Linked DNA regions of Anolis sagrei. The main gene of each other region encodes a partner of the protein of the gene in region 4 in a complex. Links are inferred from orthologs where the notes say so. Each region holds a gene or a part of one and is shown on either strand. Other genes may lie near its edges. The genes, in order: CDC45, MCM5, GINS2 and GINS3.

Region 1 (7,546 bases), on a different chromosome or scaffold from region 4:
AAGTTATAATGGAAAGTTTAAAAATGATAAATATGCTTAAAGATGTCATAGATTTATTTTTCTTTTACTGTTGGTTTGTATATAATATGGTATACTCCCTTGTCTAAGATATTGTAAAAAGAGGGAAAAAAACTCTATACTAGTCTTGGGGCAAAAGTCCCTGTCCTTTAGGGCTCACTATTATCCACCTTTTCACGTATCCCCCGCAGAGATGGCAGGCAGTCTATATGTCTTTCAGTCCGCTCCTTCTTCCCAAAGTAACCACAAAGGTGACAAAAATGCTTTGCAGCTCATTGTTATTTTAGGTCCCATAAGAGAAGACCACTCCAGAGAGCATCCCAAAGAAAAACCAACACATACTTTTCCCTCCTTTCTCCACATCGGATCGGTCATTAGGCCCAGCAAGCATTGACACTGAGAAACAACGGTATTGAGTTGAGAAACGGTTCTGGAAGACTCGGGGAATCGGATGATCAAACATGTTGAAAGAAAACTGGGGAGAACAAAATAAGTTATAAGCCAAGGCATTCGAAGACGTGGGTGGCCTTTACACAGAACACGACAAGCCAAAGTGGTCAAGATACTGAGACAGAAAGAGAGAACTTTTGACCCCGAAAATGTCTCAGGCTATAACCCCCACAATTCCTTAACATGGCCATTGACAGGCGGGCTTCTGGGAGTTGTAGTCCAACACATTGTTGTAGTAGTAGGCCCCCTCCCTATTGGCATTTCGGAGGAAAGTGAAGACCTGGTTGTTCGAGCAGGCATTTGAATAGGCAGTGTAATGAACATAGGAATACAGAACAACGGATGAGATTGGATTGTGATTTTACTTGAGACGTTAATGAGACGTTATATTGATGTTTAACTGTTTATTATGTTATTATTGTATTCATTTTTTAACTGTTTTATGATGTTATGCATTGAATTTTTGCTATTGTTAACCGCTTTGAGTCACCCGAGGGCTGAGAAAAGCGGTATATAAATGAAGTAAATAAATAAATAAATAAATTGGAGGGGGATGCTAACAGTTTTCCATCCAGATAAAGCTTAATTGGACATCCTTCTTTCATGAGGTTGATGTGAGGCTCAAACCAGCAGACGGCGAATCAATATTGCATATTTAGCATTGTTGTGTGCCTTCAAGTCATTTCCAACATTGGACAAATTGGATTTTCTTAGTTCAGAGGGTTGACCATTGCCTTCCTCTTACATTGAGAAAGCACAAATTGCCCAAGGTCTCCCTTTGGGGTTCCATGGCCAAGCAAGGGATGCAGCCACACTGTAGAATTAATGCAGTTTGACTCCACCTGAATTACCCTGTCTCAATGCTATGAAATCACAGAAGTTGTTGTTTTGCAAGCTCTTTTACCTTCTCTGCAGGAGTGCTCATGCTACCCCAAAATTACAACTCCCAACAACTCCTGAGGTTGAGAGTTGGAAATGTTTATCCCACTCCTTTAGAAGATTCCTATCACATCCCACTGTTATTGTGAGATTATTCCACCTTAACTGCCATGTTAATATCATACAGAAGGATGTGATTTGCAGTTGAAGGAGGGGCATTGAGAAACCTCAGCTGGAGAGCTCTCAGGTCTTACTAAAAAGCAAGCCTTTGCATTCCAAAGGAAGTTGCCAAAGAGGAATCAAAGTGCTCTAAACATGTGGAGTGATAACAACCTTATGCCTTACCTGAGGAATGTCATTTTCCCCATTTGATGTTCTTGTAACCCAGCTGGAATTTAGAAACTGTACTTTTATTTACACTTGCATTTTATAAAGAAAATATATGTGCGTGCATATACATACATACATGTGTGTGCAAGTATCTGTATGTATATACACACATACATACACTGTATATACTCATGTATAAGTCAAGGACATGTTTGAGGGTAAAAATTATGGATTTTGATATGACCCATGGGTAAGTTGAGGGTTATTCTGTAGAGAGGGGAAAGCGCCAGTGCTGCCGCTACTATTTTCCCCTGCAGGACATTCAGTAAGTCTAGAAGCAGCTTGGCAGCCGAGAGTACAGGAGACTGGTGATTCTTTGAAGTTCCCCTGAGTTGGACCAAGTGTTTGCCTTTTGCCATCTTACTCAAAGAAGGGGGAGGTTCCTGTCTTGATCAGAGTTACAGTATGTACACAGACCTGTGGATAAGCCGACCCAGGTTTTTGGAGTTGATGTTCCGGCTCAAATTTCTAGATGAATACATCAATGTATAGTTCTCAAACATACTATATGGATACACATAATAATTAAAAATGTATAGAGATACACATAAGTCTATAAATGAGTCTATAATTCCCAAAGATACAATAAGTATATGAATAGTAATACTACTAACAAGAAAACATGTCCTCTGCCACCGAGCAATCCAATTTTTTAGTGTCAATAATATGGCTCAAAATTTCTAGATGTATACATTATATATAGACTTATACATGAGTCTATATATGAGTTTATAGTTGCCAAACATAGTAAAAGTAAGTATATGGATACATGTGAAACTGCCTTCTATTATCTCAGGCTATCTTTTCAAACAAAGAGGCCTAGGACTCAAAGCCAGGTTCCTTTTGGCATCCAAATATGTATGATGATGCTACCAAGGGACCACAGTTTTTGGTTCCATGTTCTAGCTCCAATTTCTAGACTTATACATGAGCCTATAGACTTGTACATGAGTTTATATACTGTATTGATGTGAGTCTAATGCGCCATCGACCCTAATGCGCACCTCAATTTTCAAAACCCTGAAATAAAAAAAGTATTTGCTGGCAGCACACTGTCATTTGGACAAAAAAGGTGTGCATTACTGTTGCTGCCTGTTTAGAATTCCTTCTTTCAAAGCAAAAGTGTTAGGACACCAAAGCTTCCAGCGACTGAGAGGAAACCCTTGGGGTGCATCTATGCTGTAGTATGAATGCATTTTAATTGCTTTGGTTCAATGCTATGAAGTCATGGCGGCTGTAATTTTCCAAGGTCTTGAGCCTTCTCTCCCAAAGAATGTGGATGCCTCATAAAACTACACCTGGAGGGAGGGAGAGCAAAAGTTGGTCCAGGTCTGGCCTATAGAGTATTATTATATTATTACATATATATAATTTTATTAGCATAGCACAATATTAGTATTATACATCATTATATTGTACTGTACCACTATGCTGCAGTATTATTAGTAATATTACATGCACTATATAATACAGACTTATTATATAATTATATCGTACTACATGATTATACCACAATATAATACACTATCAGTATATTATACTATTGGTATTTTACAATACATTGTACTATATTATAAGTTTTAGTATATACAATATACAATATATTATATTATAGCATTTTAAAGTATTATTACATTACAATGTAATTATTTCTACATATTATAATATTATATATATTGAGGGGCTCCAGAGTGATGCTGCAGGAGACATGATGTAGCTGTGATAATAATAATAACGTAATACACTTAATAATAATAATAATGTAATTAATAATGTAATTAATTATGTAATGCACTTAAACACAATCGGCGCTGACAAAATTACCATCTGCCAGCTGCAGAAGGCCACCTTACTGGGATCTGCACGCATTACTTGCCGATACATCACACATTCCTAAACACTTGGGAAGTGTTCGACGTGTGATCCAATACAACAGTCTGCAGACTGTCTGCTGTGGACTGATCTTGTTGTGTTTCAAATAATACAATATCATAGAATCATAGAGTTGGAAGAGACCCTGTGGGCCATCCAGTCCAATCCCCTGCCAAGAAGCAGGAAAATAGCATTCAAAACATCCCTGACAGATGGCCATCCAGACATCTAATACCAATTAAATACTAATGGCTGCTAAATACTACTGTTAGTCATTTGATTCTAATATATTAAATATAATTACAACTTATCATCTATAATAATATATGATATACTGTTTTGTTATTGTATATTTAAAGTTGTCATGTTTTGTATTGTGAGTCCCTTTGAGTCTCTGTATGGAGAGATAATGCAGGATATAAAGAATCTAGAGTAGGCCTTGATCCCCAGAGTCCTGTCAAGAACACAAGGCTTGCGATGGAGGCTGCCTCCACCCCCCAAAGAGTAAGAAGAAGAGTCAAGAAGACCCCACCAATGTCCCTGTCACCAGAAACAAGGCTTCTTCAACCACAGGAGCCCTGTCCTGCCCTCCACTGTGGCTCCCAAGCAAAGCCAAGTCTCCCCAAGGCAGCCTCGGGCGGCAGAGGCCGAGGGGGCGGCAGCAATGGCGGCTTCCTTCACTTTTCTCAGCAGGAGGCCTATCCCAGAGCCGCCGCCCCCTCCCAAGCCAGTTCTGAAGTCACAATGCAGGCGACGGGGCAGGGAGGCTCCGGAAAAGCCTCAGGGCCTAGGCCTCAAAGCCCTTACCATGGCGGCCTAGAGTTCCTCCTTTGCCTCTCTTGCTTCGGACCCGACCAAGGCCTCCGCGCCGCCGCTTGTCGCTCGCCTCACCGCCAGGGACACCTTCAACAACTCCGGCTCCACATGAAAGACCCGCGAAAACGCCTTCACTTTCGAAGGAATGTTTAGGAAGACATCGAAGGCCGTCAAGGCCTTGCAAAGTGGTGTTTTGGAATTCGTAACTACATGTCCCAGAATGCGCTTCGAGGCCTCTTCCGCCTTGGAAGCAAAAGGGGCGGGGTTTCGGGCAACTCCTCTGAGGACAACATAGGTTGGGCTTGGGTCTTCTTCACCTGAGCTGAGCTGAGCTGAGCGGGCCGGGCCGACCCGCCCCTATGCCTCGCCGCCAAGTCATCTCAGTCCCCGAAGGAGTCTCATCACTTCCGGCTGTGAGTCGCCATTATTTCCCCCCCCCTCCTCCGTGAGAGAGGAAAGTGCTCCGCGTCACTCCTAATCCGCGGAATCAAATCCTACATTTCCTGCTCGAAACTGGGGGTTCTTCCAGGCTGCCCTTTATTCCAGGATCTGACCCCAGATTACCTGTTTCCAAGTGGAGTATATGCGGCCCCACTGCCAGATAACCTGGGAGAAACAGATAATCTGGGATCAGATCCTGGGATATAGGGGCAGTGTGGAAGGGCCCTGGAATATCTAGCAGTGTGGGCTCCGAGAACTCAGGGCCCTTCCACACAGCCACATAATCCAGAATATCAATGCAGAAAATCCCATAATATCTGCTTTGATCTGGGTTATCTGAGCCCACACTGCCATATATCCCAGTTCAAAGGAGATGATTGGATTCAGCTGTGTGGAAGGGGCCGAAGTCAAGGGCCCTTGGCTGTTGTGCGGCGACTGAGCAAATGTTCCGGCTGACTATGCCCAGGTGGTGATTGGTGTCAGGTACCGGGGCGGGCCCGCTTCGAACTTGTCCAATGAAGATCACGGAAAGAGAGAGAGAGAGGAGACAGCCCATTGGTCGAGGCCCGGAGCGTGGCGGCCAATAGGGAAAGGGAAAGGTTTTGGCGCCTTCCTTTGAGCGGGGAAGACAGCTTCCCGAGGAGTTTTGTCGCCCGACGCCATTGCCGCCTTCCTGTCAGCGGGTTCTTCGGCCTTTGAGCATGTTCTTAACGGACTTCCGCAAAGAGTTCTACGAGGTGGTTGTGAACCAGGTGAGCGGGAGCTTTTCTCCGGGAGTCTGCCGCCGCTCCCTCTTTGAGGCGCGGCCATGATGGAGGAGGAAGGCCTCCGCCCGCTCTCAGGAGCCCAGGGAGCTCCCTCAGGGGGACTCCCACTCTCAGAAGCTGCGAGGGACTCGGGGCAACCATTTTCTTGTCCTAATTAGAAACTTACCCATTGTAGTGCTCATTACTGCCACTCAATCAACAAACTGCGAATGATCAAAGTTTTAGCAGTTCCCACACTTGAATAACACCAGCACTCCACTTCTGTAGGGATTGAAGTGGAGGCTTTTCAACAGAGCCTGGATGGCCATCTCTCAGGCATGCTTTGATGGTGTCCTCCTGCCTGGCTGAAGGGGGTTGGACTGGATGCCCTTTGGGGTTCTCTAGAGAAATATAGACTGCTTGGGAATCCATTGGAGTCTCCTTCTCTGGAGATTTTTGAACTAAGGCTGGGTGGCCATCCAGGGCTGCTATGAGTGTGCCTTTCTGCCTGGCTATTTATTTTTATTTATTGTGTCAGAAGTGAATTGAGAATACAGTTATAATGTATTTTAAATTAAAAACACAAAGTTAAAAACTTGGCATTATACAAGATTTCATTTCACCAGAAGATGGCCACTTGGAGAGCCTCTGGTTTCACTGTAAGAAGGTGCATGTTTTTGGAAAACACCATTTGGAGATCATAACTTTAAAAAAGCATGACCTTTTGGGAAGAGCCAAAAATCCCTTTGTTTAGAATCTTCTCTTGTGGTGTACAACCAGATGTAATTGTGCTAGGCAATGATTGCAGCTGTTAGACCGAATAACCTGTTATCTCTGATCTGTTAGGAAAATAGATATTTTTGCCAGTTCATAAAACAGCAGAACTTTAGAAGTGTTTTTAGTTGTCCATATATATATATACTCTCCCATAAAACAACTTGTTTTATATCATGCACTCAAAAGACAAAAATTAAGTAGACTTTGATAAAAATAACATATTTGGTTTACTCACAACCTTCATTCATTCAGCATACCTTAGTCCAATCGGCCAGGACAATCTTACAGCAAAAACAGCAAGCAAGTGTGTGATCTGAGGTCTGAAATAGTCTGTAGTCATGAAGTAGTCTGTTTCTTTGCTATAGTGATAATGTGGTTTGCAGCCCTTTTCTAGGAACCATAGAGTAAATGAAGCTACATGCCCAGAACATACATACAAACAGTAAGCAACAGGTTCATAGATAAACATTACTAGAGAAGGCTTGAAGAAGGTTGTCATTTCCAGAACATGTGGTGGGGCACAGACTGCATTGTAGTCAGTGATCTATGGTTTGTTCTTCTCCACACTTGCATGTTGTGGATTCAACTTCATGGCCCCATTTCTTAAGATTGGCTCTGCATCTCGTGGTGCCAGAGTGCAGTCTGTTCAGCGCCTTTCAAGTCGCCTAGTCTTCTGTGTGCCCAGGAGGGAATCTCTCATCCAGTCTCAGCCACTGATTGAGGTTCTGGGTTTTAGCCTGCCACTTTTCAACTCTTGCTTTCTCAGGTGTTCCTGTGAGTGCGTCTGTAGATCTTAGAAAGCTATTTCTTGATTTAATGCATTGGTATGCTGGCTGGTATCTGTACAGAAGATGGGCCAGGGATGTCACTGCCTTGGTCCTTTCATTATTGGCTGCTACTTCCCAACAGATGTCAGGTGGTGCAATACCAGCTAAATAGTATAGTTTCTCCAGTGGTGTAGGGCATAGACATCTTGTGGTAATGTGGTATGTCTCATTAAGACTCACATCCACTGTTTTAACATATTCCACACTAGGCATACGTATTCAGTGGCAGAGTAGCAAAACACAAGGGCAGGTGTCTTCACTGTGTCTGGTTGTGATCTCCAGGTTGTGCCAGTCAGCTTTTGTGGGATATTATTTCTAGCGCCCACTTTT
Region 2 (7,933 bases), on a different chromosome or scaffold from region 4:
GGGAGCAAACTTGTTTTCTGCTGCCCTGGAGACTAGGATGCAAAATAATGGCTTCAAACTACAGGAAAGGAGATTCCCCCGAACATGAGGAAAAACTTCCTGACATTGAGAGCTGTTCAGCAGTGGAACTCTCTGCCCTGGAGTGTGGTAGGGGCTCCTTCTTTGGAGGCTTTCAAACAGAGGCTGGATGGCCATCTGTTGGGGGTGCTTTGAATGTGATTTTCCTGCTTCTTGGCAGAGGGCTGGACTGGATGGTCCATGAGGTCTCTTCCAATTCTATGGTTCTATATCTACTCCAGTTGGAAACAAATCCCTGGAAAGCTAGGATGGAACAGGTATACTAGGGAAAAGATGCCATGTTGGTTGCTTCACAAACCACCTGTGATCTTTAAAGAAATCGGTTTGGTAAATAAAAGCCTAAACATCCTAAAGGCATTAGATGCCATCTGAGCTTAGAATCTGGGCAGGACTAGTCTTGGTTAGTACTTGGGTGGGAGGCCCCAAAGCATACCTGGTGTTATAGGCTACATTCAGAGGGAAGAACTGGCAGAAACACATTTCTCAACAGCACCAGCAACAACAAGGTGGCTATTATATGCTGCCACAAAGTAACAAAACAGTATCTTTGAGTTTTTTTTATAAAAAATGTATGTTGAAACTCAAGTAGTTGCTGAAGTTAAAAAGTGACAACTCATGGTAACTTTTCCTAAAGAGAGACGCAAACAAGGCAACACACAACTGAATTCTTGCATCATTATAAAGTAACTGTATAGCCTTGGAGAAAAACTTAGGGTGTATCTAAACCTGGCATGGACAAACTTCGGCCCTCTGGGTGTTTTGGTCTTCAACTCCCACAATCCCTAAAGTAATTTCACTTTCTCCTGGATGCTATCAAACTTCAATATTTACTGTGAACCCCAACATACACACATTGCAGGTGGTTCTATGTCTCATATCAATTCTAGCCTGGCAATTCCTTCCCACATGTCTTTGAGTCAACTCTTATGTTAACCAGGCCCTTCTTTAGAGTGAGAACATAGCTCCACCTGTGGGCACAATGGTAACATTACATGAACTGCACAAGATTACAATTACCTCTTATTTCCATGGCACTTTTGAATGGTCTAAGAGTTTCATGCATATAATCCAGGCATGGACAAACTTTCTAGCTTGGGGGCCACGTAGCAGGCCAGAGGGGAGTGGGTGGGCTGGGAGGTAGGAGATTCTCCCCAAGTCCCCTCCCTGCCCTTTCCCCCCTTCCTCTTCTCTTTCAGAAGCAGAAAGTGGAGAAAAGACAGGAAACATTTGGATCCCAGGAGGAAATGGTGGATGAGAGAGAAAAAGTATATCCATTAGATAAATGGTTCTCAATCTGTAGGTCCCCAGATGTTTTGGCCTTCAACTCCCAGAAACAGCTGATAAATTAGCTAGGATTTCTGGGAGTTGAAGTCCCAAACACCTGGGGACCCACAGATTGAGAACCACTGCATTAGACCCTGTATTGCAGTGGTTCTCAACCTGGGGTCCCCAGATGTTTTTGGCCTACACCTCCCAGAAATTCCAACCAGTTTACCAGCTGTTAGGATTTCTGGGAGTTGAAGGCCACAAACATCTGGGGACCCCAGGTTGAGAACCACTGCTGTATTGCTTTCTCTTGATATGTAATCCTAGAGCTGGAAGAGACCCCCAAGGGCCAGCGTGTCCAACCCTCTGCTATGGAGGAAGGCACACTCAAAGCACTCCTGATAGACAGCCTCTGTGGAAAAGCCTCCAGAGAAGGAGACTCCACCACACTTCAAGGACGCCTATGCCACACTCCAACAGTTTTTACTCTCAGGAAGTTCTTTCTAAACTTTTCAGTCGAATCTCTTTCCCTACCATTTGAAACCATTGCTCCCTTGTGCCCTGGTCTCTAGAGCCACAGAAAGAGCTTTCTCCATTGTGGCCCCCTGGCTTTGGAACTTGCTACCTAGTGAGATTAGGCAAGCCCCTATGCAAGCAGCTCTTCTGATGTGCCTTTGACGAATGAACACAAACCCCCCATTTCTGTCCCAATTACAGATTCATCCTCATGATGCACTTTTTCCCATCCTTATGGGAGGGGGAAAGAGGGGGTAAATAAAGAAGGGAAGTCTTACAAATGAACTTAAATTCAATTGACTACTATTGATATAATATTCAGAAGTTCTACTTTTGAAACTGGAAAGCACTTCGCTAGACATACGAACTAGTGTCGTACGGTCCAATTGTGACCTTATAAAGTGAATATTATTTCATGTTATTTATGCAATATTTTATATTAATTCCTGTATTTATTCAGTATTTTAATTTCAGCAATGCCAAATGATATATATTGGAAAATTAGCAATTTGGTGTGACTCTTAATTTATTGCTTGCTTGAATGGTTGTTAAAAATAAAATTTAATTTTCAGCAAAATAAAATAAAGAAGGGAAGGAAGGAAGGAGAGAAGGAAGGATAGGATGGTGAGAGAGAGGAGGGGCTGAGAACAGCCCAAGGGCCCTGGGTTTGCCCATCTATATAAATAAAAATGTAATGTTAGTTCGTGGGATTAACAGAACTCGAAAACCAGTGGGCCAATTGACACCAAATTTGGACAGCATACACCTAACATCCCAATGTATGTTCTTCACTCAAAGAAATTGATGTTGTCATTTGGGAGTTGTAGTTGCTGGGATTTATAGTACACCTACAATCAAAGAGCATTCTGAACTCCGCCAATTATGGAATTGAACCAAACATGGCATACAGGACTCCCATGACCAACAGAAAACACTAGAAGGGTTTGGTGGGTGTTGACCTTGAGTTTGGGAGTTATTTGTCGTGTCAGGACAACCAGTCAAATTATATTACATTTCTAACAGAACAAAGCAAACAAACAGACAAAATGCAAAATTTGTGAGTTTGGGAGTTGTAGTTCACCTACATCCAGAGAGCTCTGTGGATTCAAACAATGATGGATCTGGACCAAACTTGGCACAAATATTCCATATGCCCAAATATGAACACAGATGAAGTTTGGAGGAAATAGACCTTGACATTTGGGATTGGTAGTTACTGGGATTTTCAATTCATCTACAATCAGAGCATTCTGAGCCCCACCAACGACAGAATTGGGGCAAACTTCCCACACAGAACCCCCATGACCACAGAAAATACTTAAGGCCATCCAGTCCAACTCCCTTCACCAGGACAAGAAAATGTAATCAAAGCCCTCCTGACAAAGAGCCTTCCAGCCATGGATATAGATAGAATCATAGAATCATAGAATCAAAGAGTTGGAAAAGACCTCATGGGCCATCCAGTCCACCCCGCTGCCAAGAAGCAGGAATATTGCATTCAAATCACCCCTGACAGATGGCCATCCAGCCTGTTTAAAAGCTTCTAAAGCAGGAGCCTCCACCACACTCCGGGGCAGTGAGTTCCACTGCTGAACGGCTCTCACAGTCAGGAAGTTCTTCCTCGTGTTCAGATGGAATCTCCTCTCTTGTAGTTTGAAGCCATTGTTCTGCGTCCTAGTCTCCAAGGAAGCAGAAAACAAGCTTGCTCCCTCCTCCCTGTGGCTTCCTCTCACATATTTGTACATGGCTATCATATCTCCTCTCAGCCTTCTCTTCTTCAGGCTAAACATGCCCAGCTCCTTAAGCCGCTCCTCATAGGGCTTGTTCTCCAGACCCTTGATCATTTTAGTCGCCCTCCTCTGGACACATTCCAGCTTGTCTCTCTTCAATTGTGGTGCCCAGAATTGGACACAATATTCCAGGTGTGGTCTAACCAAAGCGGAATAGAGGGGTAGCATTACTTCCCTAGATCTAGACACTACGATAGATATATATGATTCATGCACAGAAAGATATAGTATCATAGATTTGAAAGGAACCCCTAAAGAGCATGCTGCATGTTTCAGGGTAGGCAAACCAGACAATCTTTACATCAACACTGACAAAGAAACAACAAGAAATACTGTTTACTCACAAGCATCAAGAAATTACATATATTAGAAACCAAGACTTTCTCATTTCTTTATTTTCCAGATTACCAGACTGGGCCACAGCAACACGTGGCAGGGGACAGCTAGGACCTGATATAACCTTTCATAGTCGATAATATGATGGATAACCCGGGTGGCCCAGTGGGTTAAAGCGCTGAGCTGCTGAGCTTGTTGATCAAAAGGTTGCAGGTTCGATTCCGGGGAGCGGCGTGAGCTTCCGCTGTCAGCCCTAGCTTCTGCCAACCTAGCAGTTCAAAAACATGCAAATGTGAGTAGATCAATAGGTACTGCTCTGGCGGGAAGGTAACGGTGCTCCATGCAGTCATGCCGGCCACATGACCTTGGAGGTGTCTACGGACAACGCTGGCTCTTCGTCTTAGAAATGGAGATGAGCACCACACCCCAGAGTCAGACATGACTGGACTTAATGTCAGGGGACTACCTTTACCTTTACCTTAATATGATGAAACAATGACTTTCCTATGGCCTTCTTGGCTCATATTAGAAACAACACCTTTACTTCAGTGGACACAAACTTGCTTCATGCACAAAACTATTTTGAGTATTTTATGATATTTTTAACATTGGCTGTGTGTCTGACAGCTAACTTCCCATTGCCAATAAGAAGATACAGCTGAACATGCCTTTAGCTCCTCCCACTTCCGCCTACAGCCTCCATCTTAAGCCTCTTCTTAAGTTCTGTGCGAGAGGCTTTCTGGCGCTAAAATAAAGTTCCAGGAAAAGTCAGGCGAAGCAAGGGCGGGCTCTTCTTTCTGCCTCCTCCAATCGGATTGAAAATATGGAAATCCAAGCACAGAAAGGGCGGGGTTCGGCAAATTTTAGCAAAGCCAATCGCGCATGGCTGAATTCTTTGTAACCAATGGGAGCAGTCGGCGTGCGACCGTCAGAAGGCGGGGCGAAGTGTTTTCCCGCGAAAATCTCTCTCCGCCTTCTCCTTTTTTGCTCGGCACTGAAGAAAGGTCTGCTTAAGTGGAAAATAGAAATTCCAAAGGAAAAGGAAAAGGTTGGTGCAGTAACTAGTCTTTGCTGGGAGTTAGACGAGGAATAGTCCTTTTTCCTTGTCTTTGTAACTAGTTTTTGACAACTATTCACTTCCTAATGAAGTTTCTAATTATCTAACCTAACTAATTACTGAAGTGCTATAGAGCCGGGCTAAAGATGGCTTCTTGAGCTGAGTTTCCAGCCTTGAGGATATTTCCCCTCATCCAGTGTTTACCAAACTTTGGTGCGCCACCAGTTTTGGACTTTAAACTCCTATAATTCCCAAACAGCTTAGACAAAGACAGGATTTATGGGAGATGAAGTCCAAAACATCAGGAAATCCAGTCTGGGAAACACTGTCCTGGGATCCATCGGCAGTAGAATAATGTAGTTTGACATCACTTTTAATTGCCATGGCTCAATGTTATGTCATTCTGGGAGTTGTAGTTTAGTATTTATTTCTTTTATTTATTTACTAGCTGTCCCCTGCCACGCGTTGCTGTGGCCCAGTCTGTGTATATGTGTTTTGTGTGTGCATATATGTGTATGTATTTGGTTTTTGCGTGCATAGTAATGCATTTTTATTTGTTTTGGCTTTTGAAGTCTCTTCTGCTGTATTTTTTAGTGTTTTTATGAGTGATGGTCACTCGTTGGCCTGAAAGGTGTGTTGTGTCCAAATTTGGTGTCAATTCGCCCAGTGGTTTTTGAGTTATGTTAATCCCACAAACGAACATTACATTTTTATTTCTATAGATTTGCCATACTTGTACCCCGCCCTGGTTTGTAGGAAATGATATGTTCTGACAGGTAGCTTGGGCCAGAACTGTTTAGGACTTTATAGGCCAAAGCCAGCACTTTGAATTGTGCTCGGTAGCAAACTGGGAGCCAGTGAAGGTGACACAACATGGGGTTGTGTGCTCCCTGAGTGCCGCTCGAGTGAGCAACCTGGCTGCTGCTCGCTAGACCAGTTGAAGCTTCCAAACACTCTTCAAAGGCAACACCACATAGAGTGTGTTGCAGTAATCTATACGGGATGTAAACAGAGCATGTACTCTTTGGAAGAGAAGGCTAGAGACCTAATAAAACTACAGCTCCCAAGATTCCAAAGTACTGAACGATGGCAGTTAAAGTAGTGTCAAACTGCATTAATTCTGCAGTGTAGATGCACTTTAAGAAAAACAAGCCTTCATTTAACTGGAGGGAAGGGGAAAGGACATCCTAAGTAAAAGAAGAGAAAATTGATTTATGCAGAGTTTGCATAGCACTAGCTTTCTACATGTTGAGATGCACTTTAAACATTTAGACTTTCTACTTCATCACACTAGAGAATGAATCCACTTTAAATCCAGTTTCTGCCTCCTTCATAATTATGGGCTTTGTAGTTTAGGGAGGAGCCTTTAACAGCCTCACTTAAACTACAAGCCCCAGAATTCTGCAGGAGGCAGAAACCGGATGTAAAGCATATTCATTGTGATGAGGTCCTTTGTCCTGGATGATGGTTATATATATTTCTGCATCCTTTCAGATCCTTTCTTTATCTCTGTTTTTCCCTGCAGAGTGAGACGCCATGTCTGGCTTTGATGATCCCGGCATTTTCTACAGCGACAGCTTTGGTGACACAGGGGGAGATGAGGGCCAGATCCGGAAGTCCCAGTTGCAGAAGCGTTTCAAAGAGTTCTTGAGACAGTATCGGGTTGGAACAGACCGCACTGGCTTCAATTTCAAATACAGGTGCCCTTTCCTCCCAAATAAAATCACTTTTCTTGCTACACTTCATAGTTGATTGGCCTTGATAGCAGTATGTTTGAAATAGATCTTGGAGTCCTCGTGGACAACAAGTTAAACACAAGCCAACAATGCCATGGAGCAGCTTAAAAAACCAATGGAATTTTGGCCTGCATAAATAGGCGCATAGCGTCTAGATCCTCGGAAGTCGGCTTACCCCTCTATTCTGCCTTGGTAAGATCACACCTGGAATACTGTGTCCAATTCTGGACACCACAATTAAAGGGAGATATTGACAAGCTGGCATGCGTCCAAAGGAGGGTGACTAAACGATCAAGGGTCTGGAGAACAAGCCGTATGAGGAGCGGCTTAAAGAGCTGGGCATGTTTAGCCTGCAGAAGTGAAGGCTGAGATGAGACATGATGAAGGCCATGTATAAATATGTGAGGAGAAGTCATAGGGGGGAGGGAGCAAGCCTGTTTTCTGCTGCCCTGGAGACTAGGATGGAGAACAATGGCTTTAAACCAGAGGAAAGTAGATTCCACCTGAACATGAGGAAGAACTTCCTAACTGTGAGAGCTCTCTGCCCCGGAGTGTGGTGGAGACTCCTTCTTTGGAGGCTTTTAAACAGAGGCTAGATGGCTGTCTGTCGGGGCTCCTTTGAATGTGATTTTCCTGCTTCTTGGCAGGGGGTTGGACTGGATGGCCTGCAAGGTCCCTTCCATCTCTATAATTATATAAATATAAATGTACTGCTAGTTGGGATTAAATATGGCTGTGTTAGTGTAATTTATCTTTCTTGGTAAAAGTGCTCTAACAAGTGTGTTCTTGACTGTAAGCTGCTTGTTTTCAGTCTCACATGCCCTCACTACTCCTGCTGTTCTCACTCTGTCTTAGAGATGAACTCAAACGGCATTACAATCTGGGCCAGTACTGGATTGAAGTGGAGATGGAAGACTTGGCAAGCTTTGATGAAGACCTAGCAGACTATCTGTACAAGCAGCCTGCAGAACACCTCCAGTTGGTATGTGTGGGATGGGATGAGAAATGCTGCCTGAAAGAGAGATATTGTGGTCAAAGTGCCATTCAAATGACACATTCAGGACCCAGTGCTGTTTTTGAGGCCCTTGATCTTCCATATTACTTAAACCGAATCCCTTCCTGAGCAATTCATTTATGAAGCTGTAGTAGCCTCT
Region 3 (7,504 bases), about 23 Mb from region 4:
TGTAGCGTTTGGTCCAGATCCATCATTGTTTGAGTCCACAGTGATCTCTGGATGTAGGTGAACTACAACTCCAAAACCAAAGAACACTGCCCACCAAACTCTTCCAGTGTTTTCTGTTGGTCATGGGAGAACGGTGTGCCACATTTGGTTGAATTCCATCGTTGGTGGGGTTCACAGTGCTCTTTGATTGTAGGTGAACTATAAATCCTAGAAACTACAATTCCCAAATGACAAAATCAATTTTTTGAGTGAAGGACATACATTGGGTTGTTAGGTGTCTTGTGTCCAAATTTGGTGTCAATTCGTCCAGTGGGTTTTGAGTTCTGTTAATCCCACAAACGAACATTACATTTTTATTTATATAGATTTTACTGATGATGTTGTATAATGTTTTAAAATGATTTTATTGTGAATTGTAATTTTTATGGTATTTATGCTGTTAGCATCCTCTGATGCTTATGTGAGGCCGCGCTGAATCCCCCTTGTGGGGAGAAGGGCGGGATATAAATATATGAAATAAATAAATAAATAGGTTAACAATCATATACATAACAAAAAACTAGGATAGGGGGCTTGCAGAAGGCTGCTATTTCCAACAATAGGTCCATACAGCTTTCATACAATTCCATTCAATCCATACATCATTTATTCATCACACTACCGGCTGTTAGGAATAGTGGGAGTCAGGGGCGGCTCGCGAAGTAAGCGGTCGCAGAACACTTTTTTTTGCCAGGGGTGCAGAGGCGCCTCTGTAAATGCCCCTCGACCGCCACTTGAGGAGTGCCCCCTCAGCTCACAACAGCCCTAGCAGTCCGGGGGAGCCTCGGCTTTCTTGCCTCGCTGCCGGGCGATCCTCTTCCCAAAGGGGCCGGGCCCTTGAGCCTCGCCTAGCCCCTCTCGTTCCTGCTCTACCCAGCCACCGGGTGCGTGAGCAGAGCCGGTGCTCAATCGTTCTCTGCATTCGATCCCTTCCCCGATCCCCCGGCGCTCCACCCGCCTCCTCTCCTCTCCCCAATCCACGGGTGGGCCAAGGGGCGGAGCCGCCTCGTCTGGCCCGCTTCGGGTCCGGAGGCGTGTCTGAAGACCCCAGCGTGCACACCAAAAGTCGCCTCTTCTCTTGACTTTCTCTTCAGCCATTGGGACCAAGAGAGAGAGAGAGAGAGCCCCACTGGCTGGAGGTATCTCTTACCTCCACTCCCTCCTTTGTTTTTGCGCCTACCTTCAGGAAAGGTAGGCATCTCCACCTCTCTCTCTCTTGGTTCCAATGGCTGAGGAGAAAGTCAGGAGAAGAGGTGACTTTTGGTGCACACGCCGGGGTCTTCAGGCACGCCTCCAGACCCAAAGCGGGCCAGGCAAGGAAGCAAGTGCGGCAAGTGTAGTTACTGGGATGTATAGTTCACCTACAATCAAAGAGCATTCTGAACTCCACCAATGATGAAATTGAACCAAATATGGCACACAGAACTCCCACGACGAACAGAATATATATATCAATGATTGGTTGGGGGGGACGGGGGACGGCGCCAAAATACTGTTTGCTTACTGTTGAAAATTACCTAGGGCCGCCTCTGGTGGGAGTTAAAGTCCAAAACACCTGGAGGACTGACATCTGCCCATGACTGGAATAGACACACCCTAAGACAGGAGAAAAGGTCTTCCTTACCCACATCCATCCATTCGGGAGGGATCAAGCGGCACTTCTGCCTCTGTTTTAGGTTGATAGCCAGCCAGAGAGGAACTTGCACAGGAAGCCCAGGATTGAAGGGACCTAGGTCTCCCTACAAAAGGGAAAGCATGAAGAAGTCACTTTAGGTCTGGTTCCGGCATCGTCCTGGAATGTGCAGCTGTTTTCCAGGGATTCAAGATATGAATTACAAATCTTGCATAAGGGACAAGTCTTCCTCCGGCAGGTTCTCCCTCATGCTCTTTCTGTACTACGCATAGGCAATCTTGGACTCTCCAGGTGCTTTGGACTTCAAAAGCTGTAGGCTGTTAGGAATTGTGGGAGTTGAAGTCCAAAACACCTGGAGGGTCCAAGTTTGCCCATGCCTATTCTATACCTCATTATCAACCCCAGAACTTGGGAGTTACTTTTTGTGCACTACAGCTGCCATTCCGGAGCCAGCTAGTATAGTTTCTGAGCAGCAGCAAAAGCTGGATAGAGTCCAGATTGGACTACTGTAATGCGCTCTACGTGGGGCTGCCCTTGAAAACGGCCCGGAAATTCCAACTGGTCCCAATGGGCGGCAGCCAGGTTGTTAACTGCTGCTCCTTACAGGGAGAGGTCAACCCTCCTGTTTAAGGAGCTCCACTGGCTGCCATTCATTTTCCGGTCCCAATTCAAGGTGCAGGTGCTTACCTACAAAGCCCTAAACGGCTTGGGACCCGTCTACCTGCTTTACCGCATCTCTGTATACGAACCCACATGATCTTTTCGATCATCTGGAGAGGCCCTTCTCACGTCGCAAGCGCGATTGGTGGGGACGAGGGACAGGGCCTTCTCTGTGGTGGCCCCCCGACTCTGGAACTTTCTCCCCAAGCTGCAGTCTGCCAAAATTAGCTCTGGCAAAGCTCTGGGTGGCTTTTAACACTTCCTAAACCCCTTTCTGGGGATGATGGGAGCTGCATTCTGCCAAAATTAGCTCTGGCAAAGCTCTGGGGGCCTTTTAACACTCCCTAAACCCCTGTCTGGGGATGATGGGAGATGCAGTTTGCCAAAATTAGCTCTGGCAAAGCTCTGGGGGGCTTTTAACGCTTCCTACACCACTTTCTGGGGATGATGGGAGCTGCAGTCTGCCAATATTAGCTCAAGCCAAGCTCTGGGGGGCTTTTAACACTTCCTAAATTCCTCGTCGCCTCACTCACCCCAATGAGGTAGATCCGGTCCAGGCTGAAGTTGGGGATGATGGTGACCTGCTCTTGCTCGGCCAGGAACTCCACTTCCGCGGCCTCCATGGCAAAATGCAGCCTCAACTCAGCCTCCTGGGGCATCTCCGCTTCCTATTGGTCGGAAACGCGAGCAATCATTTCCGTAGCCCAATGAAACCCCCCGCTTTGGTCCCGCGCACCTGCTATTGGTTGGGAAACTCAAGCCAACCCCGCCCACCGCGAATTGGTTTCTTTTCTTTCCCGCGCTAATTCCAAGCCTGAGAAAGCCGTACATCCTACTGGTTGGGAATAACGTGATTGACTACTTTTCTATCCAATGAAAAGCCTGGGTTTTCCTCAAGCGCGATTTTTATTGGTAGAAAACAAGAGCTAAATCCCGCCCACTGCTCCACCCGCTGCTTTTAGCTTATATTGAAAGCCTCCCGCTTTTCCTGGCGTTTCCTATTGGATGGGAAGAGAAAGTACCGCCCACTACCCACTCTTAACCCAATGAGAAGCTCAATGTTTTGCATATCTCCTCCTACAGCAGACAATCATAGCTGCCATTGGTTGAGAGGCAGAGAAACAGGGAAGACCCCGCCCACTAATGCTTAACTTATGTTGTCTTATTTTCTCGCATGGAATTTAGCCCCGCCTACGAGCGATGTCTATTGGTTGGAGGGTCTCTCGCCCCGTCTCCTGATTGGCTCATTCCTTGGAGGCTTGCTGTGATTGGGTAACGCTATATTTTGAAGCTGTGTTGCACTTTATTGGCTCTAGAGGTGATTAGTCTGTATTTCGGATGCCTCTAAAAATAGATAGATAGATAGATAGATAGATAGATAGATAGATAGATAGATAGATAGATAGATAGATAGATAGATAGATAGATAGAATTAAATATAAATAAATATAAATAAATATAAATAATATAAATATAAATAAATATTAATAAATAAATATTAATAAATAATAAATATAATATAAAATAAAAATTTAAAAAATATAAAATATAAAATAAGATTTAAATTTAAATTAAATTAAATATAAAATAGTATCAAATAAAATAATAAAATATAAAATAAAATATCTTCTATACACACAATAAAAGAGAAAATCTGTATGTGTTTGTATGCGACTGGGGTGTCCACTAACACAGGCAAGGTCCAGCCTCAGCAAACTATAGCTCCCACTACTCAGGAGACATCAAAGGCCAATGACATTGAAGGTTATAGTGAGTACCATCAACATGTCCAAGAGCCCTGCCAATGTCCTCCACAAACACCATCCTGTCCCTCACCCAAATGAAGGCTATCATACAAGGAGAATTTGCTCCTAGATTTTATGTGTTTCCTCCACCACAGACATCCCAGTTTTTCTGACTCTCTCCACTGATGTGGAAATTGCATGACCCCCTCCCCCACTGCCTTTCCCTTAACCCTTCCCTATTCTTTACTATTGGCCCAATTCTATCATTGGTGGGATTCAGATTCCCAAACGTCAAGGTCTATTTTCCCCAAACTCCACCAGTGTTCACATTTAGCCATACTGACCATTCACGCCAAGTTTGGTTCAGTTGAATCCAGACAAGACAGAGGTCCTCCTGGTCAGTCGCAAGGCCGAACAGGGTATAGGGTCGTAACCTGTGCTGGATGGGGTCACACTCCCCTTGAAGGCACAGGTTTGCAGCTTGGGAGTTCTCCTGGATTCATCACTGAGCCTGGAATCCCAGGTCTCGGCGGTGGCCAGGGGAGCGTTCACACAATTAAAACTTGTGTGCCAGCTGCACCCGTACCTTGGGAAGTCAGACTTGGCCACGGTGGTCCACGCTCTCGTTACATCTAGAATAGACTACTGCAACACACTCCATGTGGGGTTGCCTTTGAAGACTGCTCGGAAGCTTCAAATAGTCCAACGAGAGGCAGCCAGGTTAATAACTGGGGTGGCATACAGGGAGCATACAACTCCCATGTTACGCCAACTCCACTGGCTGCCAGTTTACTACCAGGCACAATTCAAAGTGCTGGCTTTGGCCTTTAAAGCCCTAAACGGCCCTGGCCCAAATTACCTGTCCAAACGCATCTCCCTCTACCATCGCAGAGATTAAGATCCTCCGGGGAGGCCCTGCTTTCCGTCCCGCCATTGTCAAAGGCGCGATTGGTGGGGACAAGGGACAGGGCCTTCTCGGTGATTGCTCCCCAGCTATGGAACTCCCTTCCTGGTGAGATCAGGTCGGCCTCTCCCTCCTGTCCTTTAAAAGGATGGTAAAAACTTGGCTGTGGGACCAAGCTTTCGGGACAGGACAATGAAGCGACAATGGGAAAGATGACAGAGCCAATTGGATTTGATGCGGATGGCTAGGACGGTTTTAAATTGTGTTATTTTAAATGGTGTATTTTAATATTTAGATAAATGTTTTTTAATGTTTATGTATTGTACCCAGGCATTGAATGTTTGCCATGTATATGCTGTGCTCCGCTCTGAGTCCCCTTCGGGGTGAGAAGGGCGGAATATAAGTGTTTTAAATAAATCAATCAATAACCCACTGTGCCACCGGGGGCTCCACCTCTGCTGCTAAGAGTAAAGTTTTTATGTTCCTTTTTCCCTCTTGTTTGTGTGTCTTTTGCATGGGACTTGGCTAAAACACGCTTTGTGCAACACGGCCTTCTTGGTGGTGGGCCTCCGCCTGTGAACTCACTCCCCAGTGAAATTAGGTTGGTGCCATCTCTCCTTTCCTTCAGGAAAAAGCTCAAATCGTGGTTGTGGGACCAGGCATTTGGACAGCAGGCTTAGAACGGAAAACAGAATGTTGGTGGACAAGAAAAGAGATTTAAAGACGGGCTCAAAGCCAACCTTAAAAACTCCGGCATAGACACTGAGAACTGGGCAGCCCTGGCCCTTGACTGCTCCAGCTGGAGGTCAACTGTGACCAGCAGTGCTGCAGAATTTGAAGAGGGCGAAAGGGAGACGCGTGCCAAGAGGAAGGCGCGTCAAGCCAACCCCGACTGAGACCGCCTTCCGCCTGGAAACCAATGCCCTCAGTGCGGAAGAAGATGCAGAGCAAGAATAGGGCTCCACAGCCACATACGGACCCACAAGAACACTGGAAGACAATCCTCCTCGGAAAACGAGGGATCGCCTAAGTAAGTGAACTGATAATGAACTAAGTCCCTGAATGTTGAATCTATTTTGGATGTGCCCATATTATTGTTAATAATGTTTTAACTGCCTATTTATATTTAATGTTTTAATCAATGTTTTAATCGTGTTCTCTTGCTATATTGTGTGTTGGCATCGAATTGTTGCCGGCGTAAGCCGCCCTGAGTCCCCCCTTGGGGATTGAGAATTGTTTGAAATAAATAAAATAAAATAAAAATTCTCAATCAGTTGGCATGATGTCTGTTGCAGTTAACCTACAACCTTATGCATTTTGTGCAATTTTACAAAATGACATTTTAAAATACCCCGGGCAACGCCAGGGACCCGTTAGTAAATAAATAAAATAATATAAAATAATAAAATATTTCACAAAAAAACAGGACATTCTAAATGCATAACAAATCATGATGCTTTATAAATATTCCCAAGACTTGGAAAACATTATTATTTCCAATGACAATAAAACATGCCAGTCCAGCAATGGATAGAATCAATGCTAAGGTTGGAATCAAACTTTCAGGCTTTTTTTTTAGGAGGGGGCAAATCTAGCAGAAATATAATTGGGGAGAAATGGCCAAAGAGAGTGCAAGGATTTCAATTCTTATACAAAAAAAAGTGACATAGGAAACCGCATTCAGTTTGATAGTGATGGATCAAGTATACAGTAATCTGGATTGTTGTGAGTTTTCCAGTCTGTATGGCCATATTCTGGAAGCATTCTCTCCTGATGTTTCATCTGCATCTACGGCAGGCATCCTCAGAGGTTGTGAGGTCCTCTAAAGAGGAGGTCCTCTAAAGATGCCCACCATAGATGCAGGCAAAACATCAGGAGAGAATGCTTCTGGAACATGGCCATACAGCCTGGAAAACGCACAACCCAATGATTCTGGCTATGAAAGCCTTCAACAATACATTATACAGTAATCTGATGCTCATTCCAGCCATCATTCCATCTGCAGCAATAATGCCTAATACAAAGAATGTACGTTTTGTCCATGGCGGTTGGTTAAGCCTGAGAAGATGTTGAGGTTTCAAAGGATCTTTATGGCTAGTTGAGATATTTATTCCCTGATATTGAGCTGAAACGAAGGGATGGACAGCATCTCATTCAAACAAATGTCAACATAACATTTGCTTCATTTTCACACAGGTCGTATGATAGACTTGTCATCCCATAATAATAATGACACAATTGTTTTCTGTCGTCCGTTGCAGGTAGGATCGCATCTCTTCAAAGAGAAATAGTTCGTGCTTGGGATAATAATGCAGCCCTTTCTTCGGGGTGTGAATGCGTCTCTTCCTGTCGAACACACATTGTCATATTGGATGTGGCCAGTTACATTGAGAAGCTCTAGAACCCTTTTCAACTTTTCTCTTTGTGTGTGGATATGTGTGTATAGAGATATATCTGTCTTGGCTCAGATGTCTTCATGCCCTGCAATGGTTTCCGATTTGAGCAAGACAGTTCCAGGCCCCT
Region 4 (7,794 bases):
TAAATCAAGTATTATTATTATTATTATTATTATTAAATATTATTATTAAAACCGCTCTGAGTCCCCCTCGGCTTGAGAAAAGCGGCATACAAATACTGTAAATAATAATAATAAATATTATTATCCTGCAACTAAAGTGTCGTTCTACCTGCAGGATCGTCTGCGCGAGTTCTGCATTTTCAGGACTGTCAAAATTCAGCATCTGGGAGCCGAAGGCATAGTAGTAGGGCCCCAGCTTGTGCAGGTCCACCACGTTGGCGTCAGCACTGAAGACGGTCCGCCAGCTCTCCTTGTAAACAGCCGGCAGCTCCACCGAAATGATCCTCTGCTTGTTGTCGTAGAGGCCTTTGGCCAGCCACAGCGGCAGCTCCAGTTTTGTGCCCTGCAAGCCACAGGAAAGGGGAAAAGAGGCAGAAAAGTGAATACCATACTTCATCGCATAATAGTTGCACCCCCATTGGGGGGGGGGGGGGACAGCGGCAAAATTGTATTTTTATTTTCCTTGCATAATAGTCGCACCCCCATTTGGGGGGGGGGCAGCGGCAAAATTGTATTTTTATTTTCCTTGCATAATAGTCGCATCCCCATTTGGGGGCCCAGCAGCAAAATTGTATTTTTATTTTCCTTGCATAATAGTCACACCCCCATTTGGGGGGGGGGCAGTGGCAAAATTGTATTTTTATTTTCCTTGCATAATAGTTGCATCCCCATTTGGGGGGGGGAGAGGCAAAATTGTATTTTTATTTTCCTTGCATAATAGTTGCATCCCCATTTGGGGGGGGGGGGAGAGGCAAAATTGTATTTTTATTTTCCTTGCATAATAGTCGCACCCCCATTTGGGGGCCCAGCGACAAAATTGTATTTTTATTTTCCTTGCATAATAGTCGCATCACATTTGGGGGGGCAGCAGCAGCAAAATTGTATTTTTATTTTCCTTGCATAATAGTCGCACCCCCATTTGGGGGGGCAGCGGCAAAATTGTATTTTTATTTTCCTTGCATAATAGTCGCACCCCCATTTGGGGGCCCAGCGGCAAAATTGTATTTTTATTTTCCTTGCATAATAGTCACACCACCATTGGGGGGGGAGGCAGTGGCAAAATTATAATTATATTTTCCTTGCATAATAGTCGCATCCCCATTTGAGGGGGCAGCAGCAAAATTGTATTTTTATTTTCCTTGCATAACAGTTGCATCCCCATTTGGGGGGAGTGGCAAAATTGTATTTTTATTTTGCTTGCATAATAGTCGCACCCCCATTTTGTGGGGAATTGACAAGGGCAAATGCAGTAGTATTATCTGCTAGGATACGGAGCCCCCGGTGGCGCAGTGGGTTAAACCCCTGTGCCGGCAGGACTGAAGACTGACAGGTCACAGGTTCGAATCCGGGGAGAGCACGGATGAGCTCCCTCTATCAGCTCCAGCTCCTCATGAGAGAAGCCTCCCACAAGGATGATAAAACATAAAAACATCCGGACGTCCCCTGGGCAACGTCCTTACAGATGGCCAATTCTCTCACACCAAAAGCGACTTGCAGTTTCTCACATCACTCCTGACATGACCAAAAATAAATAAATCTGTGTTTCTCAGCCTGGGGGTCGAGACCCCTGGGGAGGTGCCAGAGGGGTCACCAAGGACTTTTCTGTTGGTCATGGGGGTCTCTGTGTGGGAAGTTTGGCCCAATTCTATCGTTAGTGAGGTTCAGAATGCTCTCTGACTGTAGCTGAACTATAACTCCCAGTAACAACAACTCTAAAATGTCAAGATCACATTTGGGCATATGGAGTATTCATGCCAAGTTTGGTCCAGATCCATCATTGTTTGAGTCCACAGTGCTCTCTGGATGTAGGTGAACTCAAGGTCAATGCCCACCAAACCCTTCCAGTAATTGCTGTTGGTCGTGCGAGTTCTGTGTGCCAAGATTTTTTTATTTTTTTATTATTTACTTTACTTATATACCGCTGTTCTCAGCGCGAAGGCGACTCACAGCGGTTCACAACCAATAAAAACAACAATAATTCAATGCAACATATATCAACAATTAACAACTTAACATATTACCCAATCAATAAACACTTACTACAATAACCGATCACAGTCGTCTCATTATCAAAAACATAATCCAGATTCGTCATCCATTGTTCCATTCCTATGTTCATTACCAATCACTGCACTAATTATTTGAACGCCTGCTCAAACAGCCAGGTCTTCACCTTTTTGCGGAATACCATTAGAGATGATGCTAGCCTAATGTCCGTAGGAAGGGCGTTCCACAGCCGAGGAGCCACCACCGAGAAGGCCCTATCTCTCGTCCCCGCCAGCCGAGCTTGAGAAGCAGGCGGGATCGAGAGCAGGGCCTGGTTCAATCCCGTCGTTGGTGGAGTTCGGAATGCTCTTTGATTTTAGGTGAACTATAAATCCTAGCAACTACAACTCCCAAATGACAAAATAAAAAAAAATTGGGTGATAGTCACTCCTTGTGTTGTGAGATGTTTTGTTGCCAAATTTGGTGTGATTTCGTTCATTGGTTCTGTTGTTTTTAAGGAACTCCTTATGCATTTATATATAGAGAGAGATATGATACAGATATTGTACTATGCGAATAATATAATATATGGTATGTATATATATCTTGTAAGCCTCTCTGAGTCCCCTTCAGGGTGAGAAAGGCGGCAGAGAAATGTCAATGAATGAATGAATGAATGGCTGTGGGTGTCTCCAGGGAGGACTTCCGGTGTGGCGCGCGGGGCCTGCCGGGAGTTGTAGTCCCGTGCTGTTCTCTGCTCACCTCAGGCAGGGCGTCGAGCGGGGCCTTTCCGAGGGCGAGGGCCAGGCGCGGGAGGGCGGCCTGGGCGCGGCAGGGCATCCGCTCGTGGGACATCAGCAGGTCCGGCAGCGAGAGGAAGCTCTCCTCGGGGCCCAGCCCCGGCTCCACCGCCGAGTAGGCCTCCGCCGACATGGCGCCTCAGTTTCAAATCCGCGCATGCGCAGACGCTTCTCCCGACGCCCCTCCCCTCTCGGCCCGCCAGAGCAAATGGATGGGGAAAGTGCGCACGCGCGAAGGTGCAGCGCGGGTTGAACTGCGCCTGCGCGAAAGCAGGGATGCCTTTGTTGGTGGGACTTCCAGTCCCAGAAGGCCGGGGAAGTGCACATGCGCGAATGTCCCGCACGGGTTGAACTGCGTGCGCTGAAGCTGGTATGCCTTTCTTTCTGGGACTTCCATTCTCAGAAGGCCGGGGAAGTGCGCACGCGCGAATGTCCCGCGCGGATTGAACTGCGCCTGCGCAAAAGCAGGGATGCCTTTCTGGGACTTCCATTCCCAGAAGGCAGGGGAAGTGCGCACGCGCGAATCTGCCGCGCGGGTTGAACTGCGCCTGCGCGGAAACAGGACTATCTTTCTTTCTGGGACTTCCACTCCCAGAAGCCTCAGCAACCTTAGCCAATGATCAGGGATTATGGGAAATGAAGTCCAAAAACACCTAGAGGGCCAAAGCTTGGGAACTATGTCTTCTAAGCCACATTGGCTGCTCTTTTAACCCATTCTTGACCACTCTGAGCTTCTCAAACTCATTCAGACTCTCTTCCCATGCAACATTCCCCTTTTTTTATTATTATTATAATATTATTATTTTATAGGAAGGCTAATGCTTGCAATAGGGACCCCTGAAATATATTAAATCTGGCATTGCATTGATGGAGTAATTGGATGCAACGTCCAACTTTGTTTCTGCAGAGAAACTAATGCTTCTGAGGTCAACATTGACACCGAAATGCAACACTGCCCGAGCTCTGCGAGTGCAGCATTCTTCCGAATGAAGCAGGGAGTGTTTGAGAACCGGGACATCTGTAGGGAGACCAAGGGGCTTGCTTATAAAGCTATTGTCCTTCCAACCCTGCTCTATGCCTGCAAAACGTGGACCGTCTACAGACGTCAACATTGAGACTGAAATACAACACCGCCTGAACTCTGCGAGTGCAGCATTCTTCCGAATGAAGCAGAGAGTGTTTGAGGACTGGGACATCTGAAGGGAGACCAAGGGAGTTGTTTATAAAGCTATTGTCCTCCTAACCCTGCTCTACGCCTCTGAAACGTGGACTGTCTACAGATGTCAACACTGACACCGAAATACAACACCGCCTGAGCTCTGCGAGTGCAGCATTCCTCCGAATGAAGCAGAGAGTGTTTGAGGACCGGGACATCCGTAGGGAGACCAAGGGGCTTGTCTATCAAGCCATTGTCCTCCCAACCCTGCTATACGCCTGCGAAACGTGGACTGTCTACAGACGTCACATGCAACTCCTGGAACGATTCCATCAGCGTTGACTCCGGAAGATCCTGCAAATCTCTTGGGAAGACAAGTGGTGGAAGAAGAAGCAAAGACCACCAGCATCAAAGTGATGGTCCTCCGCCATCAACTCCGCTGGACAGGCCACGTTGTCCGGATGCCTGACCACCGTCTTCCAAAGCAGTTGCTCTACTCCAAACTCAAGAATGGAAAATGGAATCTTTGTGGACAGGAAAAGAGATTGAAAGATGGGCTCAAAGCCAACCTTAAAAACTCCGGCATAGACACTGAGAACTGGGAAGCCTTGAGTGCTCCAGTTGGAGGTCAGCTGTGACCAGCAGTGCTGTAGAATTCAAAGAGGCACGAATGGAGGGAGAAAGAGAAAAACGTGGACTCCTCCTTTTTTCTACAGAGGCTTGAGGCATTGTCTGGGTTCCTAGGCCCAAGCAGCCCAAACACAGGCCTCCTTAGCACCTTGCATTCAGCAATATGTTGATACCACCAGTACTCTTGATGCTGGTTTGCTGTGTGTACGGAAGGCGCTACCATGGCGACCACAATGACCCAACAGTAGCAGAATGTCCAGGGATGGATCCTGGGAGGTGACCATTCCCTGGTTCTGCCTAGCCATAGCCGGACAGAGCAGGCCTCCCAAGTGTACCATGGCTGGACCGCAGAGGTGCCGTTGGTCAGTGGTCAGCCGGCTCCTCTTCCTCCTGCGCTGGACCTCCCTCCTACCACCTGCTTTAGCCGGTGAGTTCCGATCAAGGGCTGACACGTATTGGGGAGGACATTGAATTTCACCAGTACATTTCTCTATTTCCCTTTATCTATTCATTTGTGTATTTCTCTCTCTCTCTCTATCCATCCTTCTATCTCTCTTTCTTTCAATCTATATCCCCATCCATCCATTCAATACATTTTTTCTCTCCATCTCTCTCTTCACCTGTGTCTCTATCTCCCCATCCATTCATCCACCAGTGCATTTCTCTTTCTCCATCTATCTATTCACCCCTTCCTTCCTTCTTTCCTTCCTTCATTCCTTTTCTTTCTTTCTTCTTATCCATTCTCCCACCAATACATTTCTCTCTTCCTCCATCTCTTTCTTCACCTGTGTCTTTCTCTATCACCGACCTATTTATCCACCAACCCATCTATCTGACAATAATTGATCTGTTCTCCAATATATTTCTTTATCTTTTCAATTGAATCTTTATCTATCCATCTATCCATCCACCCACCAATCCATCTCTATCTGTTCACCTGTATCTTTATCTATCTATCTATCTATCTATCCATCCACCAAACCATCTCTATCTCTTCACCTGTATCTTTATCTTATCTATCTATCTATCTATCTATCTATCTATCTATCTATCTATCCATCCACCAAACCATCTCTATCTCTTCACCTGTATCTTTATCTATCTATCTATCTATCTATCTATCTATCTATCCATCCACCAAACCATCTCTATCTCTTCACCTGTATCTTTATCTATCTATCTATCTATCTATCTATCCATCCACCAAACCATCTCTATCTCTTCACCTGTATCTTTATCTTATCTATCTATCTATCTATCTATCTATCTATCCATCCATCCACCCACCAATCCATCTCTATCTGTTCACCTGTATCTTTATCTATCTATCTATCTATCTATCTATCTATCTATCCATCCACCAAACCATCTCTATCTCTTCACCTGTATCTTTATCTTATCTATCTATCTATCTATCTATCCATCCATCCACCCACCAATCCATCTCTATCTGTTCACCTGTATCTTTATCTATCTATCTATCTATCCATCCACCAAACCATCTCTATCTCTTCACCTGTATCTTTATCTTATCTATCTATCTATCTATCTATCCATCCATCCACCCACCAATCCATCTCTATCTGTTCACCTGTATCTTTCTTTATCTATCTATCTATCTATCCATCCATCCACCAAACCATCTTTATCTCTTCACCTGTATCTTTATCTATCTATCTATCCATCTATCCATCCATCCATCCATCCACCAAACCATCTCTATCTCTTCACCTGTATCTTTATCTATCTATCCATCCATCCATCCATCCGTCCACCAAACCATCTCTATCTGTTCACCTGTATCTCTATCCATCCATCCATCCATCCATCCATCCATCCACCAAACCATCTCTATCTCTTCACCTGTATCTTTATCTATCTATCCATCCATCCACCAAACCATCTTTATCTCTTCACCTGTATCTTTATCTATCCATCTATCCATCCATCCATCCATCCACCAAACCATCTCTATCTCTTCACCTGTATCTTTATCTATCTATCCATCCATCCGTCCACCAAACCATCTCTATCTGTTCACCTGTATCTCTATCCATCCATCCATCCATCCATCCACCAAACCATCTCTATCTCTTCACCTGTATCTTTATCTATCTATCCATCCATCCATCCATCCATCCAACAAACCATCTCTATCTCTTCACCTGTATCTTTATCTATCTATCTGTCTATCTATCTATCTTATCTACCCATCCATCCACCGATCCCTCTCTTTATCTATTTACCTGTCTTTATCTACCCATCCATTCACCAATACATTTCTCTTTTTCTCCATCTCTCTTTTCTCTTTGTCTCTCTCTCTCTTTAACAATAGATCCATCCATTTATTTCTCTATTGATTCACCTATGTCTTTATCTATCTGTCTGTCTGTTCGTCCATCTACCAATCCATTTCTCTTTATCTATTCACCATCTCTCTATCTCTTCCCCTGTGTCTTTCTCTATCTATCTTATCTATCTATCTATCCATCCATCCATCTCTTTCTTTATCTATTCACCTGCCTTTATCTACCCATCCATTCACCAATACATTTCTCTTTTCCTCCATCTCTCTTTTCTCTTCATCTCTCTCTCCTTAACAATAGATCCATCCATTCATTCACCAATCCATTTATTTCTCTATCAATTCACCTGTGTCTTTCTCTATCCGTCTGTCCATCCATCTATCTACTCATCCATCCATTCACCAATCCATTTCTCTTTATCTATTCACCATCTATCTCTTTACCTGTGTCTCTATCTATCTATCTATCTATCTATCTATCTATCTATCTATCTACCCATCCATCCACCCACCAATCAATTTCTCTTTCTTTATCTATTCACCTGTCTTTATCCATCTATCAATCCATCCATTCACCAATAAATACATTTACCTTTCTCCATCTCTCTTATCTCTTCACCTGAACCTCTCTCTCTCCCCCCGCAATCCATCTATCCATTCATTCACCAACTCCTTTATTGATTTCTATATCTATTTACCTGTATCTTTATCTATCTGTCTACACATCTGTCAACCCATCCATCCACTAATCCATTTCCCTTTACCTAGTCACCATCTCTATCTGTTCACCTGTATCTTTCTCTATCTGTCTGTCTGTCTATCTATCTGTCTATCTACCCATCCATCCATCCACCGCTCCCTCTCTTTATCTATTCACC

Evidence for each region.
Region 1: GINS3 (region 4) and CDC45 share a complex: the UniProt entries of both Homo sapiens proteins name them as parts of the CMG helicase complex. The link is inferred for Anolis sagrei from reciprocal best matches to the Homo sapiens genes GINS3 and CDC45.
Region 2: GINS3 (region 4) and MCM5 share a complex: the UniProt entries of both Homo sapiens proteins name them as parts of the CMG helicase complex. The link is inferred for Anolis sagrei from reciprocal best matches to the Homo sapiens genes GINS3 and MCM5.
Region 3: the proteins of GINS3 (region 4) and GINS2 are in contact, whole or in part, in a crystal structure (PDB 2E9X), measured with the Homo sapiens proteins. The link is inferred for Anolis sagrei from reciprocal best matches to the Homo sapiens genes GINS3 and GINS2. Residues at the interface, in NP_073607.2 of Homo sapiens: Leu13, Gly14, Tyr117, Ser121, Leu124, Asn131, Ala132, Ser135, Gln136, Leu138, Leu139, Gln140, Phe142, Ile143, Phe146, Arg147, Ile149, Met150, Asp151, Ser153, Gln154, Ala156, Met171, Gly174, Leu175, Thr178, Gly179, Gly182, Leu183, Asp185; in NP_057179.1 of Homo sapiens: Asp2, Ala3, Ala4, Glu7, Met93, Glu94, Lys97, Asn101, Trp121, Ile125, Arg129, Val130, Ala132, Asp133, Val136, Arg137, Gln139, Met151, Thr155, Ser156, Thr158, Phe159, Leu160, Gln162, Ala163, His166, Met167, Lys169, Leu170, Arg171.

The regions. Positions count from the first base shown.
Region 1 is NC_090034.1:34,186,397-34,193,942, forward strand, and holds the start of CDC45 (cell division control protein 45 homolog), read left to right. Parts: upstream 1-4,530; 5' UTR 4,531-4,784; coding exon 4,785-4,838; intron 4,839-4,879; exon of another isoform or gene 4,880-5,567; coding exon of another isoform or gene 5,568-5,618; intron 5,619-7,546. Other genes in the region: UFD1 (ubiquitin recognition factor in ER-associated degradation protein 1), read right to left, coding at 361-493, 4,417-4,419. UniProt on the Homo sapiens protein: Required for initiation of chromosomal DNA replication. Core component of CDC45-MCM-GINS (CMG) helicase, the molecular machine that unwinds template DNA during replication, and around which the replisome is built.
Region 2 is NC_090025.1:167,318,928-167,326,860, reverse strand, and holds the start of MCM5 (DNA replication licensing factor MCM5), read left to right. Parts: upstream 1-4,925; 5' UTR 4,926-5,034; intron 5,035-6,568; 5' UTR 6,569-6,579; coding exon 6,580-6,743; intron 6,744-7,634; coding exon 7,635-7,761; intron 7,762-7,933. UniProt on the Homo sapiens protein: Acts as a component of the MCM2-7 complex (MCM complex) which is the replicative helicase essential for 'once per cell cycle' DNA replication initiation and elongation in eukaryotic cells.
Region 3 is NC_090028.1:24,665,261-24,672,764, reverse strand, and holds the start of GINS2 (DNA replication complex GINS protein PSF2), read right to left. Parts: upstream 3,004-7,504; 5' UTR 2,992-3,003; coding exon 2,866-2,991; intron 1,779-2,865; coding exon 1,664-1,778; intron 1-1,663. UniProt on the Homo sapiens protein: Required for correct functioning of the GINS complex, a complex that plays an essential role in the initiation of DNA replication, and progression of DNA replication forks.
Region 4 is NC_090028.1:1,445,598-1,453,391, reverse strand, and holds the start of GINS3 (DNA replication complex GINS protein PSF3), read right to left. Parts: upstream 3,013-7,794; 5' UTR 2,959-3,012; coding exon 2,788-2,958; intron 383-2,787; coding exon 149-382; intron 1-148. Other genes in the region: PRSS54 (inactive serine protease 54), read left to right, coding at 4,864-5,038. UniProt on the Homo sapiens protein: Required for correct functioning of the GINS complex, a complex that plays an essential role in the initiation of DNA replication, and progression of DNA replication forks.